2 linked regions of the Oryctolagus cuniculus genome follow. The protein of the gene in region 2 binds, or shares a complex with, the protein of the main gene of each other region. Links are inferred from orthologs where the notes say so. Each region holds a gene or a part of one and is shown on either strand. Other genes may lie near its edges.

Region 1 (9,534 bases), on a different chromosome or scaffold from region 2:
GGACTTGAGCCGGCGTCCATATGGGATGCTGGTGCTGCAGGCTGCAGCTTCAAACTGCAGTGCCTCAGAGCCGCCCCCAGGGGGCCGCCTTCTCAGCAGGGCCTCTGTGGGTCAGACCCAGGCCAGGGGTCTATCTACAGGGCCCGAGAGAGGCTAACGGCCCCTTCCAAGGCACCGCACCCCACCCCCGGCGTTAGCATGGGCATCAGCGTCTCAGGCTGCTAAGGATGGGCCTGCTCATTGATCTTCCTGGCCTCCCACCGGCCAGACCTGCTCGAAAGACCAACCCACACCTGACCCCTGGTGGGAAGGTCCTTGGCCCTGTCCTAAGCCTGGCTCAACAGCTTCATGACCAAGGACCGCAGCGCAGCGTGAAGGGCTCGCCCCCCGGGTGCTCCTGGGTGCTGGCCAACGAGGACCCCCGCTGTGGGCGACCTCCCAGCTGCCCTCACTCCGGCTGATGCCCTGGGCAGACTGAGATCTCCGGGCCTGGGGCTCTGAGGGCGCGCATGGAGCAGGATTCCCACACCCTCCCCTCTCCTGGGCCCCCACAGAGTGGGGCCCAGAGATCTCAGGGTTCCTCTGCTGCAGCAGGTGGTGTGTTACTCGAACCTCAGCTAAAACAGGCTCTTTCTCAAAAGTCTTTATTGATGTGAAGTTTTGTGTGTGTGTGTGTGTGTTAAAGTCAGAGTTACAGTGAGAGAGGGGGAGAGGGAGAGACAGAGAGATCTTCTACCCATTGGTTCACTCCCCAAATGGCCACAGCAGCCAAGGCTGTGCTAGGCCAAAGTCAGGAGCCTGGAGCTTCACCCGGGTCTCCCCGTGGGTGGCAGGCCCAATTATCTGGGCCATCTTCTGCTGCTTTCTCAGGTGCATTAGCAGGGAGCTGGGTGGGAAGTGGAGCGGCCGGGACTTGACCCGGCACTCATATGGGATGTTGGCATCCTAGACGGTGGCCCAACCCGGCCCCTGATGTTATCTGTTCATATTTATTTGAAAGGCAGAGCCATAAAGATAGGGAAAGAGAGACAGAGACGTATCCATCTGCTTGTTCACTCCCCAAACACTGGCAGAAGCTGAGGTTGGCCCAGACTGGAGCCAGGAAACTGGAACTCAATAGGGGTCTCCCATGGGGGTGGCAGGGACCCAAGTACCTGGGCCATCACATCAGCGGGAAGCTGAGGCGGAAGTGGAGTGAAACTTGAAGCCGCGCACTCCATTTCGGGATGCGGCTGTCCCAGGTGGCGACTCACCTGCTGAGCCCACCCCAATCCAGGCTCTTGGTCAAAGCCACTTGAGGTCCAGGACCCTGCTGTGCCCTCCCCGTGGTCCGTGGGTGCTGGCCCATGGGAAAGGGTGGGGGTGGCTGGGGGAGGAGTCTGAGCTCCAGGGTAGCCCCCACCTCGCTGTCACCCTGAATCCTGCAAGGAGGGCCCTCTGGGGCGGGCGCCTTCTCAGGCCCCGCCCTCCCCGCCCAGGCCTCCCGGGCCAGTCCTGAGGATGAGGTCACACTGTTGTCCGGCCTTAGCCGCCGGGCCCTGTCCTCCCTCGTGGGTCAGGGTCGGGAGTGGGGTCACGGGTGCCCACTCGTGATGCCACCCTCCTCAGCCGGCGGCGCTCTCTGCGGGTTGGGAAGCAGGCCGGCAGCCACCTGATCCTGGTGCCACAGCTGCTCGGCGAGCCCGTTGAGCACGTGGGCGACGTCAGCCAGCCCGGCCCAGCCGTCCAGCGTGCGCCCGTCGGCCAGTCGCCGCCCGGGCACACTCTTCACCCGCAACAGGGGCAGCTCCCAGGCCTGCCGGAAGGCCGTGAGGTCGCGCTCGGGCACGTCTGTGTGCATGTACTGGTCAAACCTGCAGGAGGGTCAAGGAATCCACCCGGGGGGCTCTGCGCCAGCCCCCCAGCCTGCCTCCTCCCGGAGCCCCACCCCTACCCCTGCTGCACGTGGGAAGGAAAAGCCCATGGCAGGGCGGAGCCAAGGTCCCTGACCCTCTGCCCGGCGCCCGGCCAAGGACAGCCTGATAGTCCCAGGGGCCGCCCAGAGGATACTTGGAGCCAATGACCATCCTGACAACAGCAGGGGCCTCGCCCGCGACACGGGCCAGCTGGCCCGGGAGGTCTTCGAAGGAGGCACGGTCGGTGAAGGAGAAGAGGAAGAGGAAGGCGTCTGTGTTCTCCTTGCAGGCCTGGGGGTGGAGAGGCCGACTCACAGGCCGCGCGCCACAGCGCCGAGCCCTCCACCCGTGGCAGGGCCCTGACTAGCAATCCTCCCTGCACAGGAGGGAAGCCGAGGCCGGGAGCAGGGAGCGGCTGGCCCAGGGCAGAGCGCCGGCGGGGACCCAGTCCCTGGCCTGCTCGCTCCTGCCCCTGACTCAGCAGCTTGCCCAGGGCGCCCCCGCTCACCGGCAGCATGTGGTCGAACTTTCTGAGCGCCGCCTCGCCGCAGTCCCAGAACTCAAAGCGGAACATGACGACACGGTCACTGGCCTGCAGCTTGGCCGGCCAAAACACCACGGTGGTCTGGATCCCTGAGGAGGGCAGAGGTCGGCTGTTCAGCATGGGGAGGGGGGAGGGGGGAGGGGGACCAGGAAGGAGGAAGAAGGAGATACCTCCCCGCGGGGGTAGCCCTGGTCTGATGGGGGCAGGCACAGCCCCTGACCTGGGAGAATTCCGGCCTGGGAGCCCTGGCTGTGCCGAAGCAGCGTCCCTGCCTGCACAGGGCCCACACCCGGGGCACCAGGGGCCGTGCAGCCTCCAGCGGGAAGACACAAGGAAGCTGGGCCTTTCCGGGGTGCCCGCCGCGTCTCCAGCAGCAGCCCACGGGCTTGGTACCGCTACCCGCTGGGGACAGAGGAGCCAAGGAAGGCTCTGTCAGAGAGGAAAAGCGGCGCTCAGGGCGGCCGTGAAGGCGATGAAGCCTGGCTCACTCGGCCCAGGACCAGGTCACTTCGTCCACCCCAGGAGGCCTGGAAGGTGGGCAAAGGGTGGGGCCGCACTCACTCACCGATGGTCTCGTGGTGCGCCGTCGGCACCTCCAGGCCGGCCAGCTTGGCCACCAGCGCTGTCTTGCCCACGCCACTCTTCCCAGACACGAAGACCTTGTAGCTGGCAGTGTCAATGGCCACAGACGGGGGCAGCACTGGCCGTTCAAGCAGCCCTGGTGTACGGAGGGCAGCAGAGGGTCAGAGGGCCAACCGTGCACCTGCCGCCTGGGACCCCAGGACGGACAACCGCACCTCCACGGGCGTCTTCAGGGCTGACCCCCCTTTCGTGGGTGTCAACATTTATCCCAGTGAGAGACAGGCAAGGAGAGAGACCCCCTCGACTCCTCTCTAAGCATCTGCTGCGGCCGGGCCGGGGCCGGGGTCAGGAACTGAAGGCTCAGCCCGTGGCAGGGACCAGGGACCCCACTGCCTGAGCCTCCCTGTGCCTCATCTGCTGCCTCCCTGCGCTGAGCTGGGGATGAAACTCAGGCACTGCAGGCTGGGACGCAGGTGTCCTAACCCGGCACCACTTCTAGGCCAGACGCTCTCACGCCAGCTTTACGGAAGCCTGAGACACGAAGAGACCGGCCTCCGTTCCTGCAGTGGATCCGCTGGTAGTTCTTCGCTGTTCTCGACCTTTCTGGGCGGGGGTCAGGGGTCAGGGGTCATAATGACACACTCAGGTGGGTATGCTCAGCGGTTAAGGACCTTAGGCGCTGTGGCGCAGGAGGTTCATCCTCTGCCTGAAGCGCCAGCATCCCATGTGGGCGCCGGTTCCAGTCCCGGCTGCTCCTCTTCTGATCCAGCTCTCTGCTATGGCCTGGGAAAGCAGCAGAAGATGGCCCAAGCACTTGGCCCCTGCACCTGCGTGGGCCTGGAGGAAGCTCCTGGCTTTGGATTGGCTCAGCTCTGGCCATTGCGGTCATTTGGGGAGTAAACCAGTGGATGGAAGACCTTTGTCTCTGTCTCTTCCTCTCACTGTATGTAACTCTACCTCTCAAATAAATAAGTAAAATCTTAAAAAAAAAAAAAAAAAAAACCCTCATGGCATTTGCTGGTGAAAACACTGCAAAGTCACCACTTTCCGCCAGTCCAGCAACTTGACCCTGACTGTGGTCCAGGAAACAGTGGCTCTGTGTTACTCCCAGGACATCGGCTCCACCTACTCGCACACAGCCGCAGGGGCAGTGACAGGTGACCCTCGGTGGGCCCTGCTCGGGGCGGCGTCCACGTGTGCCTCCTTCCCTTCCTCGGGTGCTCTATGGGGCAAACACTGTGGACACCCACTTTACAGAGGACAGACCTGAGTTATTCATGGTCGCAGGGCTAGGCAGTGGTGGGGTCTGGGTGACCCTCCCTCCAGCCCAGCCCACAGGAAGTAAAGTTTCAGTGGCCACAGGCGAAAGTCATACTTTGAATTTGACCAACTTCTAAAAAAATTAATAAATAAGAGTTACCCTTACCCACAAACTTCGGTTCATTACCTATCACGTGTAGCAAAGGGCTTAAGCCCAGCGACCAAAGGCACAAGGATCACCACCTGAGGTTCCTAGGATCAGGACAGCCCATCAGCCGCTCAAGGTCTGGTTTGGAAACCCTGGAGCTTGGACACAAAGGCTCAGAGGACTCTGGTCCTTTGCCACTCAGTGCGGCCCCTGCACTGCAGCACTGGCATCTCCTGCTGTCCAGAGGCCCCTGGGGCAGACTCTGCCCTTGAACAGGACCCTGGAGGACAGGGTCTGCCCCCACACTAGCGCTACAGGCTGGGCCTTGGCCCACTCCAAGTAATACCCAGGTGTTTTTTTTTTTTTTTTTTTTTTTTTTTTACAGGCAGAGTTAGACAGTGAGAGAGAGAGAAAGGTCTTCCTTCCATTGGTTCACCCCCCAAATGGCCACTACGGTCGGAGCTGCGCCGATCCGAAGCCAGGAGCCAGGTGCTTCCTCCTGGTCTCCCATGTGGGTGGGTGCAGGGCCCAAGGTCTTGGGCCATCCTCCACTGCCTTCCCGGGCCACAGCAGAGAGCTGGACTGGAAGAGGAGCAGCGGGGACTAGAACCAGCGCCCATATGGGATGCCGGCGCTTCAGGCCAGGGCTTTAACCCCTATTTGAAGAGTGATGCATGAGATGGTTCTCGCTGGCACCACTAACACACGTGTTGGAATTCCTCGATAGAAGAGCACGGCCTTCCACGACGCCTTCCTTACGAAAGTGTCTCAGTTACCACCAATCAGCCGCGCAGAGCCCCGGATGTGTGCACGCAGCTCTGCGGGCTAAGGGCTGGCAGCTTCTAACGTGCGGGCCCAGACCTTGGGGCGCGCTGGCGCTGGCTCCGTCCTGGGGAGCTGCGTCTTCTCCCACAGACACAGACCAGGGGTCGGGGCGCGATCCGCGCGGGGAGCGCGAGGTGCCCCCGCGGTCAGCGTGTCCGCCGCGGCCGCCGCGCTGGGCGGGATTTGGGCTGTTCCCGTGCTCCTGGCCCCGACGGTGGAATCCGCTGAGGGATCAGGGTCCCGGGGGCCCACGGCTGAGCACGCGAGGGCGCAGGCTCCCCACGGAGGGACGCGCGGCCGCGGGCACTCACCGAACAGCCGCCGGCGGCTCCTGCGCAGGACGCAGGCCAGGAACTCCTTGCCCTCGGGGCTCTCGTGCCAGTCTGGGACAATGGCCGAGCCGGGCGCGGGCGGGCGAGCCATGCTGGGCACCCTGGCGGGGGTGGGTGGGAGGGGGCGGCAGGGTGCTGAGAGCGGGCAGGGGGGGAGAGGGGACCCGGGACCCCTCTTAGTCCCCTCCGCCTCTCCCAGCGCAGAGGGCGCAGTTCCGAGCGCCCCCTCCTCCGTGTCACCCCGCACCCCGCCCCGGGGAGTCATCCCTTTATTTCCCTGGGCAGGGGGAGCGGGAGCCGTTTTCGGGGGTCACACAGCCCTGCTCCTCTCCCTCCTGGGTTCCGACTCCGGGAGCCACCCCCCAGCTCTCACCGTCAGCCACACGCGCTGGCGAGAACGCCTCGGTGGCGACGGTCTCTTTAAAAGCCTTGCGCTGAGCTCCCTGCCCGGCCCGCCGGGTCCGCTTCCGCCAGGCCTGCGTCCGGCTTCGGCGCGCGCGCCGCCCGGCCAGGCGCCGGGGCTCAGGACGCATGTGCAGAGGCCGTTGCCATGGGGACGCCGGGGCGGGGCCCGCTAACGCCGGCCGCTGCGCGGCGGTTGGGCGCCCGAGCCCGCGGGCGGTGACGTCAGGTCGGGGCCTCCGCCCAGGGCCCTTCCTTGCCGCTCCGAAGCTGGGAACGCCAGCGCGGACCAGCGCCTGCCCGCCTGCGGCGGACCTCCCAGCTCCCAGCCTGCGGCCCCGCGCCACTGCTGGACGCCGGGCAGTGGGCCGGCGGCGCCAACGCCCGCTGGGTGCACCGGCTGCGGAGGGGCCGCTCGGCGAACGCTGTCCATCAGTTTGTCGTCGATTTCCTGCAGTGCCTTCGAGTCGCGCGTGTGCCTGCCTTGCTAAGCCTGACCTAGGAGTTCCCGTTCACTGAAGGGCTGTGCCAGCAGCGAGGGCTGTAGAGGTCGCCTCATTTATAAAGCAGCCTGGAGCAATGGCATTCTCCCTCAGTCACGTAGCAGTCCATGTCTGTTTCCCCATACTGGGTTTCAGGTTTTTAAAAACTTTGCCGGGACCGGCGCTGTGGCGCAGTGGGGAAAGCCGCCGTCTGAGTGTCGGCATCCCATATGGCGCCGGTTCGGGTCCCGGCTGCTCCACTTCTGATCCAGCTCTCTTCTGTGGCCTGGGAAAGCAGTGGAAGATGGATCAAATGCTTGGGTCCCTGCACCTGCGTGGGAGACCCGGCGGAAGCTCCTGGCTCCTGGCTTCAGATCGGCGCAGCTCCGGCCGTTGCAGCCATTTGGGGAGTGAACCAGCAGAGGGAAGACCTCTCTCTCTCTGCCTCTGCCTCTCTACAACTCTGCCTTTCAAATAAATAATTAAAAAAAAAAAAAAAAAAAAAAAACACAAAACTTTGCCCCAGGGCGAGTGCTGTGGCATAGTAGGTGAAGCCACTGCCTGCGATGCCAGTATCAATAAGGGTGCTGGTTCAAGTCCTGGCTGCTCCACTTCCAATTCAGCTCCCTGCTAATATGCCTGGGAAAGCAGTGGAGGATGGCCCAGGTGCTTGGGCCCCTGCACCCATGTGGGAGACCCAGAAGAAGCTCCTGGCTTCTGCCTGGCTCAGGCCCAGCCGCAGCCATTGTGGCCATCTGGGGAGTGAACCAGCAGATCTGTGTCTCTCCCTCTCAGTAACTCTGCCTTCCAAATAACTAAAATAGATCTTTTTTAAAAAGAAAACCAAAAACTTTGCCCCAGCCACCAGAAGGGCTGTTCCCAGTGAGGCTGGAATCAGCCAGGGGGCCAGCAACCCACAAATCATGGAGGCCCACCGGGGGGGTGGGAGGGGACAAGGATGCGAAGACAGGGTGCTGTCCCCCATCCTGCTTGCCCCACAGCGAGGCAGAGGCGCAAGGAGCCATTCCTCGCCCAGACGCCCGGCTCACCTGCACGGCTCTTATAGCCCATTCACTCAGAGGCAGGGTTATTCACAGACCTTCCACCCACTGGGTCACTCCCCAAATGGCCTCAACAGCCAGGGCTGGGTCAGGACAAAGTCAGGAGCCAGGACCTCCATCCTGGTCCCCGACGTGGGCGGCAGGGACCCAAGCACTTGAGCCATCACCTGCCGCCTCCCAGGGTGCGCATTCGCAGGAAGCTCGACCTGAAGCAGAAAAACCTGGACTCAAGCCAGGAATTTCAGCGTGGGACAGGGGCATCCCCAGCAGTGTGGCCCGCTGTGCCACAACTGCTGCTCCACAATTCCAACAGTGTCCTCAGGGTTGTTTCCTTTCCTCTCCCCCTCGGGGAGACGCACCCCTGCCCGGGACGCACAGGTGCGGAGGTCAGCCCTCCTTGGATGCCGCCTCTCAGTGCCTTGGCTCCACAGAGAACTCTCCCTTCTGCCATGGCCCTGGCTGCGCTGGTCTCTCCCCCCACCGCAGGTTCTGATGGGCTTCTTCCCCTGGCTACATCTGAGCAGATGACCTCTGGCCATCACACCGGCACAGGTCACTCGACAGTGCCATCGACCCCGGCCACAGGCTGCCTTGGGTGTGCTGCGCCTCCCACAACCCTCTGCCTGGAACATGGGAAGTCTGTCTTTCCTGATGCCACGAAGCCATCAACATCCTGCATCGCTGACTGGAAGGCGAGGCCTGGGTGGTGCCCACCAGGGACCCCCAAGAAAAGCCGCCCTCATCTGCCCCTACCAGTTTAGCAAGGTGTGGCTATGATCTGATGTCCTCACAAATCTGTGAGGACATGGTCTAGACCTATTGGGAGCGACACTGTAAATCTCTGTAGGCATGTGTTAGGTTTCTGTGAAAAGTCTGCTTAAATGTAAACTTCATATCACACTGTCAGTTTTTGTCTTAATAAAACTATAAATCCGTCGGTTGAAACTGAATCAGGGCTGGCACTGTGGCGTAGTGGATAAAGCCACTGCCTGCAGTGCTGGCATCCCATGTGGGTGCTGGTTTGAGTCCCGGCTGCTCCACTTCCAATCCAGCTCTCTGCTGTGGCCTGGGAAAGCAGTAGAAGATGGCCCAAGTGCTTGGGCCCCTGCACCCATGTGAGAGATCTGGAAGAAGCTCCTGGCTTCGGATGGGCGCAGCTCTGGCCGTTGCAGCCATTTGGGGAGTGAACCAGCAGATGGAAGCTCTCTCTCTCTCTGCCTCTCCTCTCTCTCTGTAACTCTTTCAAATAAATAAATCTTAAAAAAAAAAAAAGAAAAAAAGAAAAAAAAGAAACTGAATCTCCAGTGTGACAGTTTTAAGAGGTAGGGTCTTCGAGGCGATTGGGATTAGTGACCTTATAAAAAGGCTGGCGGGGACAGGTTTGCCTCTTCTGTCCCCTCCACACACACACACACACACACACACACACACACACACACACACACAGGGCCCCTGACGCAGCAGCACCAAGGTGCCACCTTGGAAACAGACAGGGCCCTCAGTGGACTTCAGAGCTGCTGGCGCCTTGATCCTGGAGCCCCTGCCCTCTCGAACGGTAAGAAATGCATCTGCCGCTCGTGAATTACCCTGTCTGTGGTGCTGGACTGAGACGCCCACGCAAGGGGCGGACTTAGCTCTCCGGCTTCCGCAACAACCCTCCTGCCCCTGGCTGGCTGTGCCGGCTGTACACGGGTGCAACTCCATCTTTCCTGAGCAGCTCAGGAAATTTTTTTAAATATTTATTTTAAATAGTTACGGAAAGACAGAGAGAAATCTTAAATATCTTTCAGTTGCTGGTTCATTCCCCAAATGGCCACAACAGCAGGGGCCGGGCCAGGCAGAAGCCAGATCCTGTAACTCCATTTGGGTTTCACACACAGGTGGGAGAGGTCCAAACTCTTGGGCCACCTTCAGTGCTTCCCAGGAGCACTGGCAGGGAGCTGGATAGGAACTGGAGTGGCCAGGACTTGAACCGGCTCCTCTGGGATGCCGGCTTGACCTGC
Region 2 (9,675 bases):
ACCCAGTGACTTCTGGGGGGTGCGGTGCCTCTTCCCCCGGGACGTGAGGTGATAGTGACGTGACGTGCGGGCACCGTCCCTCGGCTGGGCTCCCACGTCACAGCGGCTGCCCCGGGCAGTGGTCCCTCCTCAGAGGGCAGAGCAGTTGGGACCCGCTGGCAGGGCGGCTCCTGTCCCTTGTCCAGCCCCCGTCTGCACACCTGTGACAAACACTGCGACTCCGTCACTCCCAGAGGTGTGCATGCGGAGGGTGGGGACGACACCAGTGGCCGCCATCTTGGCGCACTTGCTGTGGGCCACACCGTAGGAGACAAGCTCACTGCTTGCAGATGAGGCGGGGGGGGGGGGGGTGAGGAGCTTGCCCACACGCAGCAGGTGGCGAGCGCTGGGCAGGACTTAAACCAGGTCAGCCCGCGGAGCCGGCGCCCGCACGTGAGACCCAGAGGTCGCCAGGATGCTGTGTGTCCGAGGTCTCTAGTGGAGGACTGCGGAGCTGTGCTTCCGAGGGAGGGTCTGGGATTGCGCGGAGGGGCCCCTCAAAGGCCCGGAGCCGGCCTCTGTCCCTGGCTTCCTTGACCCCGGCGGCCACAGCTGGCCGTTCAGACCAAGCGCGTGGCAGCGCAGGTGGACGGTGGGGCGCAGGTGCAGCAGGTGCTCAACATCGAGTGTCTGCGGGACTTCCTGACGCCCCCCTTGCTGTCCGTGCGTTTCCGGTGAGTTGGGGTGGAGCCTCCCGGGCGGGCTTCTGGGACAAGGGGCAGGGCCTCATGGAGTCGGCCTTCCTCCCTCGCTAGCTATGGGGGCGCCCCCCAGTCCCTCACCTTGAAGCTCCCGGTGACCATCAACAAGTTCTTCCAGCCCACAGAGATGGCGGCCCAGGACTTCTTCCAGCGCTGGAAGCAGCTGAGCCTGTGAGTTGGGGGCGGAGCCCCGCGCGGTGGTGGGGCCCTGCGCACAGGCCCCTGACGGCCGCCTTGCACACCCCCAGGCCCTTACAGGAGGCTCAGAAGATCTTCAAAGCCAACCACCCCATGGATGCGGAAGTTACCAAGGCCAAGGTGAGGGGGCGCGTGGGGGCGCGGCCCCACCACTGCTCTGGGCCTGTTTCCCTCCGGGAGTGGGGCCGGCTCTGGCCCAGGGTTTCTGGGAGTGGGACACCCCCTCGCTCTCTCACGGCTGCTCCCCGCCCGCCCAGCTTCTGGGGTTCGGCTCTGCCCTCCTGGACAATGTGGACCCCAACCCCGAGAACTTCGTGGGCGCCGGAATCATCCAGACTAAGGCCCTGCAGGTGGGCTGTCTGCTCCGGTTGGAGCCCAACGCGCAGGCTCAGGTGAGCATTGGGGGGCGTGTCTGTTCCCGGGGCCTCCCCTCCCACCTCGCCCTGTGCCTTCAGTCGCTTCCGCCAACGCCTTGGCCCTGGCCGGCTGCTCTGGCCGGTGCCCCCACCGCCTCCCTCCCCTGGTCATCTCCCCCTGCCCCGGGTCTCCGTCCCGCCCCTTCACGCTGCGGCCTGCCCCGCCCCCTGAGTGCTCCTCGGTCCCCCCCCAGATGTACCGCCTGACCCTGCGCACCAGCAAGGAGCCCGTCTCCCGCCACCTGTGCGAGCTGCTGGCCCAGCAGTTCTGAGCCCGGCGGCGCCCGGAGGCCTAGGACTGAGACGGCCCTGGTGGACGGGGCAGCGCGGCCCTGCACTGGTGACGGGGAGACCCCGGGGCGGGGAGACGCCTGGCCCGGCCTCCGGCCTCTCGTACTTTTATTTTTGTTCATCTGCTGCTGTTTACATTCTGGGGGGCGAGGGGGAGCCCCCTCCCTCCCGTCGCCCCCAAGCACAGAGGGGAGAGAGGCCAGGGAAGCGGGTGCCTCCTCCCCTCCCACCCTCCTGTTGTAGCCCCTCCCGCCCCTCCCCGGCCAGGGGCTGTGTATTATTGTGAGCGAATAAACAGAGAGACTACAGGAGCGGGGTGAGGGCGTGCAGGGTGTGGGTGGCCAGGCTCCGCAGCCCGTGGGTGGGGCTCTGCGGGGACAGCAGCAGCAGCAGCCGCCGCGGCCCCAGCTGCAGAGCCACCAGGCGCCAGCCCTGGCCGGGCTGCTCGGGCCCCAACACCAGGTAGCAGGCTCTGGGCAGCTGGGCGTGGTGGGCGCGGTCCTCCGCCTTCTCCACTGACCCTGGCTCTGGGGAGGGGACGGGGGCGGCTGAGGGGCTGGACGGGCGGGAGCTGCGGCCCCGGCTCTGCAGGGCCTCGGGTGCCGGTGAGCGCAGGGAAGCCCTGGGCGGCCCCTCCGCAGCGCCCGCCCCTGCCCAGCGGGGGCCCTGCCCGCCTCAGGCCGCCTAGTGATGCCCGCTGGTGCTGGACACCGGGCCGGGAGCCCCGCCCCCGGGCAGGGCCCCGCCCACTGCCTCCCCACCCGCCCCGCTGCCCAAGGCGGCCTCCCGGGTCTCAGGCCAGTGGGCTCTAGTCAGTTTGTCCTTCCTAACCCGAAGCCGCGCTCCACGCCCACCCCACCCCTGCCCAGGCCGTGCCGGTAGCTGAGCCTCACGCAGGAGGCTGTGCTGGGGCGACCCAGGGCCGCCGGGAGACGGCACGGACCTCCCTGTGTCCTGCTCCCCTGCAGGGCCAGCCCTGCCCGGCACTGACCTGGCGGGAAGTGCGTGGCTGTGACCAGGGCGTAGAAGTTGCGGAGGAGGCGCCGGCGCTGCTCCGGGGGAGGGTCTGGGGGGAGGGACGGCAGGGTGAGGGAGGGAGGGCCCGCCCCGCCCCGCCCCGCCCCGCCCCGCCCCGCCCCCTACCCCTCCTCCCGCCCCCGCCCCTCCCCTTGGCCACCTTCATCCGCCAAGGGCTCCACGGTGAAGAGGCAGCGCTTCAGGTCCAGGTGGAGCAGCAGCAGCCTGTGGGGAGGGGGCGTCACGCCAGGGACGGGGATGCGGGCCCCGCCCGCCGCCGCGCCGCGCCGCGCCCTACCCGAGGACGTCCGTGTGCAGCGGGAAGCCGGCGGGCAGCGCCCGGCGGCCCAGGGGCAGGCAGGCGCGCAGCGGGTCCAGCAGAGGCTGCCACCAGCGGTCCAGGAGCTGCAGGGGGCGCGGTCAGAGGGGCGCGCGGGGGCGGGGCCGGGAGGGGAGGGGGAGCTGGGGGCGGGGCCGGCGCGCGCGGGGTGGGGCAGGGGGTCACCTGTGGGTCCAGCTGGCCCAGCGCCGGGCGCGGCCCGCAGAGCAGACACAGCTCCAAGCCGGGCAGCAGCGTCAGCGTCAGGAGCCGGTGCGGGACCTGAAGCAGAGCCCAGCGTGGCAGCCCCCGCCGCCGCCCCCCGCCCCGCCCCCCCCCCCGCCCCGCCGGCGCCCACCCGCCCGCTCACCGTGGGACTCCCGTGGGGCAGGTACACCGGGTAGTCTCGCGCGGCCTGCGGCGCCAGGGACGCCACCATCCAGGGCAGCAGCACGGCCTCGGGCGTCCCCAGCCGCCACCAGCCCTCTGTCGCCGCCACCACCCGGCCGGACGTCAGCAGACAGGCGAAGGCCGTGCCCGCGGCCTCGGCGAAGCCGGACAGGGCTTCCTGGGGGAGGGCGTGGGCACTCGTGGGCAGGGGGCTCCGGGGACTCGCGGCGCGCGCCGTGGACTGAGGCTGAGGGGTCGGCCCACCTGCCCGGAGCCGCAGTGTGGCCTCGCCAGGTGGGAGGGAGAGCGCGCGGCCGGGCTGCGGTGTGGCCTGGGGCTGAGCGGCCGGCAGGACAAGCTCTGGGTGTAGACAGGCTTTTCTGGGGCCAGGTGAGGGCGAGAGGTAGAAGCAGGTGGGGACGGGGCCCAGGGGGAAGGGGGCCGGGCCAGACCCACCGGGACGAGCCCGAGCCCCTCCGTACCTGCAGGAGGGCGCCCTCCGGGGGGACCACGCAGTCCACACACTGGGTCAGGTCCCCGATGAGCTCCGAGTGCCCCAGGAAGCTGTCGATGAGGCAGTAGCTGGCCTGGCGGGGGGGGGGGGGGTGGCTGAGACCCAGGTGGCCCCGAGATGTGCCACAGCCCCTCAGGAACAGGCGCCCCCGCGCCCCTCACCCTCAGCTCCTTCTTGAGCCTCTCCACGTTGCGGACGCTGGTCAGTTCTTCCAGCCCCACCAGGAGCACCTGGAGGAGCCACGCGTGTCCGAGGAGGGCTGGGGGAGGAGCCACGCACGAGGGGGCGGGGCTTGGCGAGACTCACCATGGCCCCGAACACCACGTGGAGCAGTCGCTCCAGCCGCAGCTCCGAGGCGCCGTCCTCAGAGCACAGCGCGATGAGAGTGATGCTGCGGAGGGCGCGGGAGAAGATGGACGCGCGTCCCGGGGCGGCGGCTGCCTCCGCCCTCAGCCCGGCCTGCCCTCGGGCGGGGCGGGGCAACGGGCTTGCGCGTCCCCACAGCCAAACAGCTCGCCTGCAAGAGCCGCAGGCCCCCAGGGGCGCCCCCAGGCCCTGGCTGCAAGTCCCGCGTGGAAGGCCCCCAGGGGCGGTCACCCGGGCCCTGGCTGCAAGTCCCGCGTGGAAGGCCCCCAGGGGCGGTCACCCGGGCCCTGTCCCCCAGGGGCCGTCACCCGGGCCCTGTCCCGCTGTGTCCCGCCTGGAGGGCCCCCAGGGCCATCACCCAGGCCCCGTCTCAGCAGCAAGGCCCCACCTGGAGGGCCCCCAGGGGCCGTCACCCAGACCCTGGCTGCAAGTCCCGTGTGGAAGGCCCCCAGGGGCGGTCACCCGGGCCCTGTCCCGCTGCGTCCCGCCTGGAGGGCCCCCAGGGGCCGTCCCCCAGGCTCTGTCCCGCTGCGTCCCGCCTGGAGGGCCCCCAGGGCCGTACCCCGGGCCCTGTCCCCCAGGGCCATCACCCGGGCCCTGTCCCCTGCGCCCGCCTGGAGGGCCCCCAGGTACGTCACCCGGGCCCTGTCCCCCAGGGCTGTCACCCGGGCCCTGTCCCCTGCGCCCGCCTGGAGACCTGTCATGGAAGCTTCTCCACACCACGGTCGTGTCCTCAGTCCTTGCAGAGCTCAGCTGCACCTCCAGGTTCTGCCCGAACATGTGCACTCCATTGAGGGAGCCGATGACAGAGAACGGGAGCTGAGGACGGGTGGGGGCGTTAGGGACACCCCGCCCTGTCTCCTCACTGTGAAGCCCCAGTGTCCCAGCCTCGCCCCCTCCTCCTTTCATATCCTTTTTGGGGAACCAGGCTGAGCGGGACCTTAAACGCCCCCGGAGCCTCCTCAGCCCAGCTCCCGCGAGGTCCCGAGGCCCCACCTGCTGGCGGGCGGGGGCGCCGCCGCGGCTGCTCCGACAGAACAGCGGGACCCCGCTGTTGGCCGCGAGGCACAGCAGATGCAGGGCGCCCCCAGTGCCCTCCTCGCCCATGGGGAACAGCCCCTGCGGACCCCGGCCCGGGCCCTGCAGCCCTCCGTGGGGCGGCCAGAGCTGCTCTGAGCCGGCCGGTAACTAGACTAAGTCGGCCTGCAGTCTCGAGACGCCAGAGGGCGAAAGGGGAAGCCGATGGGAGAAGGACTAAATTCCGGCCGCCTCCAACGCAACTCAGAACCTCAATCCCTATTCATCCCGGAGCCCTCGGCCAACCCCGTCAGGTTCTCTTCCGCCCCAGCCGGAAGTCACAATGCCCCTAATAAAGATGGCGGCTGTTTCTGCAAAACTTTGTAGTCTCTTCCCGAAGAGGTTTGACTTCATTTATTTAACGAGGGCAACAGAGAGGCTGGCTTCAAATGGTTGCAGTGCCAAGGCATTGCCCAGCAACCATCCTGCAGGCTATTATGAATTAAGTTCTCTAACTTGGAAAAAAAAAAAAAAGCTATGCCCCATCAAAGATGGCGACGTCCCCAAGCCGTTGCCTAGCAACCACGTTCCGTCCAGATTTTCATAATAGGCAACACCGTGCCCCACTCAAAGATGGCGACAGCGCCGCGCGGTCGCCTAGCAACCACGCCTGCCGAAGCTGTACAGCTGTGTCCTGCTCAAAGATGGACGCGTGTGGAGTCCGAGCAGCCTCTTAGGGCGAAATTGAGGAAAACACCCTCCCACCTCCGAGGGAGGCTGGGCCCACCGAGCGTTGCCTAGTAACTGCCACGTGGGAGGGTTGTTGTTGTTAGTAGAAAGAGGGAAAAATAGATCCTTTCTTGTGCAGAATTTGAAACACACTGTTTTTGATGAGTTTACACCCAGCGGGCTGGTGAAGACACCTCTCCCGCTGCTCTCCCTGAGAGCGGTAGCGGGCGTGCCTTCACAGGCCATCGCGCACTAGCGTCCTCACGTTCCCTTTCTCCACCAAGACTTATAAAATCCCACTTTTAAACGTCTTCTTACAGTTATTTATGGCCGCGACATTTGAGCAATCCTGTACTGACCTATTAGGTTCATTCCCATGTGGGTTTTTTCTTTTTTTTCAGATTTATTTATATTTGAAAGGCGGTGGGGGGGCATCGTCCATGCACTGAGCCACTCCCCCAGTGCCTGCCGCGGCCAGCACTGGACAGGAGCAGCCGGGGCCGGGAGTTCCATCAGGTCCCAGACTTCCGAGGAAGAAACATGCTGGCCGGCCGCGGCTCACTAGGCTAATCCTCCGCCTGCGGCGCCGGCACACCGGGTTCTAGTCCCGGTCGGGGCGCCGGATTCTGTCCCGGTTGCCCCTCTTCCAGGCCAGCTCTCTGCTGTGGCCAGGGAGTGCAGTGGAGGATGGCCCAAGTGCTTGGGCCCTGCACCCCATGGGAGACCAGGAGAAGCACCTGGCTCCTGCCATCGGATCAGCGCGGTGCGCCGGCCGCGGCGGGCATTGGAGGGTGAACCAACAGCAAAGGAAGACCTTTCTCTCTGTCTCTCTAACTCTGCCTGTCAAAAAAATAAACATGCAAAGAATAATTTGAAAAATAGACTATCAATTTCGCCCTGTCTTCAGTGAATTTTCCTTGCCTTCCTTTATTATGACTCCTCTGTTCCGATTCTAAAGTGCTTTTTATCTCTTTTTTCTGGATTAAATATTTTTTTCTCAATCCATTCTTATTCTGATTTCAAATTTATACACTTATTTCTCTTTTAATTTTAGTGATTGCCATTGAAATGTTACTATATACGTATTTATTTTGGCAGAGTTACAGTCAAGTAAGATCCTTTTTTAATGAAAAAAAAAAAAGGTTTGAAAGGCAGAGTGATGGCGGCGGAGATCCGGATCCTCCCCGCAGGGCTCCCTGCGCGTGGCTGCCCGGAGCCGGGGCCCACGTGGGTGTCCCACGCGGGTGCAGGGCCCAAGCACCTGGGCCGTCTTCTGTGCTCTCCCAGGCCGCGGCAGGGAGCCGGAGCGGAAGAGGAGCAGCCGGGACTCGAACCGGCGGCCTGTCGGATGCTTCCCCGCTACAGCAGTGCGCCGGCCCCTGCACGGCAGATTCTGTAAAATATCGGATCGCATGGCCTGAAGCGGAAGGCAGCGGCTCTAGGTTAAAAGAAATGTAAGAGCCGTGAGGTCCGGGCTCCCGGCTTGGGTGGCCGCTGCGGCCCTCTGGGGAGTGACCAGCGGACGGGACAGGCGCTCTCGCTCGCTCGGCCTCTCAGATAAATAAATCTGAAAAATAAGACTTCCGCAAAGCGAAGGAGGACGGGCGAGGCGGGAGGGACGCAGCGGTCCGCGCTCTCCGGCCAGCAATGGCGGCGCGGTCACTCCGCCGGGCAGCGCGGGCGGCGCCGGGACACTCCGTTAGCGGGGCCGGCAGCTCGCAGCCGCGGACGGGCCGTTTCAGGGGGACACGGGGCGGTCTGCTCAGGCTCCTACTTTTAAAAATGCATTATTTCCAAAAACATAAATAAAGGAAATATTCCAATGTTTCTGAATTGTGACGGCTAAGGCCGACGTGTGTGGTGACCGTCCGCCGACACAGGTGAAAAGCGCTTCCCGCCCGCACGGCCGCGGCGTTCCCTTCTGTCGCGCGGACCGTGTCAATCCACCGTCCCGGGACGCCAGCTCCCAGCACGCCGCGCGCGCACGCGTTGCCTAGAAACCCCCACTCCGGCCGCCGCCCGGCTTCCTTTCCGAGGCAAAGCCGCGGCGCCCGCTTCCAAGTTCACGGCCACCTCGCGGCGTTGCCAGGTAACCGCGCTTGGGACGACGTGATTGGCTCCCTCACACGCCCCTCCCCCCGCGCGCCCGTAAGGAAACTGAATCTCCGCGGTGGAAAACAAGGCCGGCGTGCGCGTTGCATAGCAACCGGGCCTCCCGCCCCTCCCCCCCGAGACCGGCGTCGTCAACAAGCGCCCCGCTCAAAAATGGCGGCCGGCCGGGCCGCTTTCCACTTATTCGGCTCTCGGGAGTCCTGAAGGGAGTTCCGTTGTCGCCGTCAGGCCTCCGAAGGGGCTCGCGATGCCCCTTCTGAGCCCTCCACGCAGTGGGCGTGAAGAAAGATGAAAAGGAAGCGCGGCAGCCCCGCGTGCCCCGCACAAACATGGCCACGGGCGCGCCCGCCGCGGCGCCAGGCCGCCCGGCGCGGGTGCGCGCGCAGCGCAGGCGCACTTCCGCTCGTCCCGCGGTGGCGGCGGCGGCGGCGCCCTGTTCCGCGCGGGGCATGGTCCCCGGGTCGGAGGGCCCGGCCCGAGCCGGGGGCCTGGTGGCCGACGTGGTGTTCGTCATCGAGGGCACGGCCAACCTGGGGCCCTACTTCGAGGCGCTCCGCAAGCACTACCTGCTGCCGGCCATCGAGTGAGTGCGCCCCCGCGGCCCGCCCCGCCCCGCCCCGCGGCGCCTGTTCCCCTCCGGCCTGACCCGGCCTCTCGCCTCCGACCCCCGCAGGTACTTCAACGGTGGGCCGCCCGCCGAGACGGACTTCGGCGGAGACGTGAGTGGCGGGAATGGCGGGCGGGGGGCGGGCCGCGCGGCCCCGGCGGAGGCTGACGGCCGCCCTCTGTCTGTCTCCCGGCCGCCAGTATGGGGGGACCCAGTACAGCCTCGTGGTGTTCAACACCGTGGACTGCGCCCCCGAGTCGTACGTGCAGTGCCACGCGCCCACCAGCAGCGCCTACGAGTTCGTCAGCTGGCTGGACGGCATTAAGTGAGCTCGGGCGGGGCGGGGGTCCCCGGGGGCGGGCGGCGCCGGGGCGGGGGTCCCCTGGGTACCCCCCGATGCGGAGGGGGACGACGTCCGGCGCGGGGAGCCTGGCTGCGCGCCCGCACCCCTTCCGCGGCGCGCTCCGGCCCTGGCCTCTCCCGTGGGGGGTGCGGGGCGGGGTGCCGCCCCAGCCTGGGCTGCTGGTGCCTGGGCGCCTTTTGGTTTAGTGACCCGTGCTGGAGACGGAGCTGGTAGGCTGCGGTCCGCTGGGTCCCTGCGCAGCTGCCTGCCGTGGCTGGGCCCGGGGCAGGGACCCCGCACACACACACACACACACACACACACACCCGGCCTGCTAGGGTGTGCCCGAGTCGGCAGCCAGAGCCAAGCGTGGAAGCCGGGCCCTGGGATGTGCGGTCTGCGTGTCTCAGCGGGAATTATTAATTACTTGAGAAGCAGAGTTCCAGAGAGAGGGACAGACAGAGGGGTCGTCCATCCGCTGGTTCACTCCCCACATGGCCTCAGCGGCCGGAGCTGCGCCGATCCGGAGCCGGGTCTCCCACGCAGGTGCAGGGCCCAAGCACCTGGGCCATCTTCCGCCTCTTTCCCAGGCCACGGCAGAGAGCTGGGTCGGAAG

Evidence for each region.
Region 1: the proteins of FUZ (region 2) and CPLANE2 are in contact, whole or in part, in a cryo-EM structure (PDB 7Q3E), measured with the Mus musculus proteins. The link is inferred for Oryctolagus cuniculus from reciprocal best matches to the Homo sapiens genes FUZ and CPLANE2. Residues at the interface, in NP_081652.2 of Mus musculus: Arg26, Arg35, Ile109, Val110, Lys126, Glu127, Arg129, Ala130, Tyr132, Cys133, Asp136, Gln215, Ala216, Ala217, Arg218, Asp219, Tyr220, Pro221, Tyr223, Pro232, Leu238, Thr239, Leu240, Leu241, Arg242, Pro255, Leu256, Gly257, Gln258, Pro261; in NP_001074643.1 of Mus musculus: Glu36, Gly38, Leu39, Leu40, Glu41, Arg42, Val83, His84, His85, Glu86, Thr88, Gly89, Ile90, Gln91, Thr92, Thr93, Val94, Lys124, Phe125, Met128, Glu134.

The regions. Positions count from the first base shown.
Region 1 is NC_091438.1:153,431,608-153,441,141, reverse strand, and holds the start of CPLANE2 (ciliogenesis and planar polarity effector 2), read right to left. Parts: upstream 6,109-9,534; 5' UTR 5,960-6,108; intron 5,688-5,959; 5' UTR 5,678-5,687; coding exon 5,566-5,677; intron 3,158-5,565; coding exon 3,005-3,157; intron 2,869-3,004; coding exon of another isoform or gene 2,753-2,868; coding exon 2,660-2,752; intron 2,529-2,659; coding exon 2,404-2,528; intron 2,187-2,403; coding exon 2,050-2,186; intron 1,854-2,049; coding exon 1,574-1,853; 3' UTR 1-1,573. UniProt on the Homo sapiens protein: Required for efficient primary cilia initiation, regulating a late step in cilia initiation. Plays a role in the final maturation of the mother centriole and ciliary vesicle that allows extension of the ciliary axoneme.
Region 2 is NC_091449.1:7,737,343-7,747,017, reverse strand, and holds FUZ (protein fuzzy homolog), read right to left. Parts: upstream 5,617-9,675; 5' UTR 5,359-5,616; coding exon 5,248-5,358; intron 5,071-5,247; coding exon 4,949-5,070; intron 4,277-4,948; coding exon 4,192-4,276; intron 4,116-4,191; coding exon 4,047-4,115; intron 3,959-4,046; coding exon 3,854-3,958; intron 3,550-3,853; coding exon 3,352-3,549; intron 3,264-3,351; coding exon 3,168-3,263; intron 3,068-3,167; coding exon 2,961-3,067; intron 2,888-2,960; coding exon 2,823-2,887; intron 2,712-2,822; coding exon 2,637-2,711; intron 2,173-2,636; coding exon 1,949-2,172; 3' UTR 1,737-1,948; downstream 1-1,736. Other genes in the region: AP2A1 (AP-2 complex subunit alpha-1), read left to right, coding at 591-713, 795-911, 989-1,058, 1,196-1,330, 1,549-1,626; MED25 (mediator of RNA polymerase II transcription subunit 25), read left to right, coding at 8,559-8,692, 8,783-8,828, 8,917-9,041. UniProt on the Homo sapiens protein: Probable planar cell polarity effector involved in cilium biogenesis. May regulate protein and membrane transport to the cilium.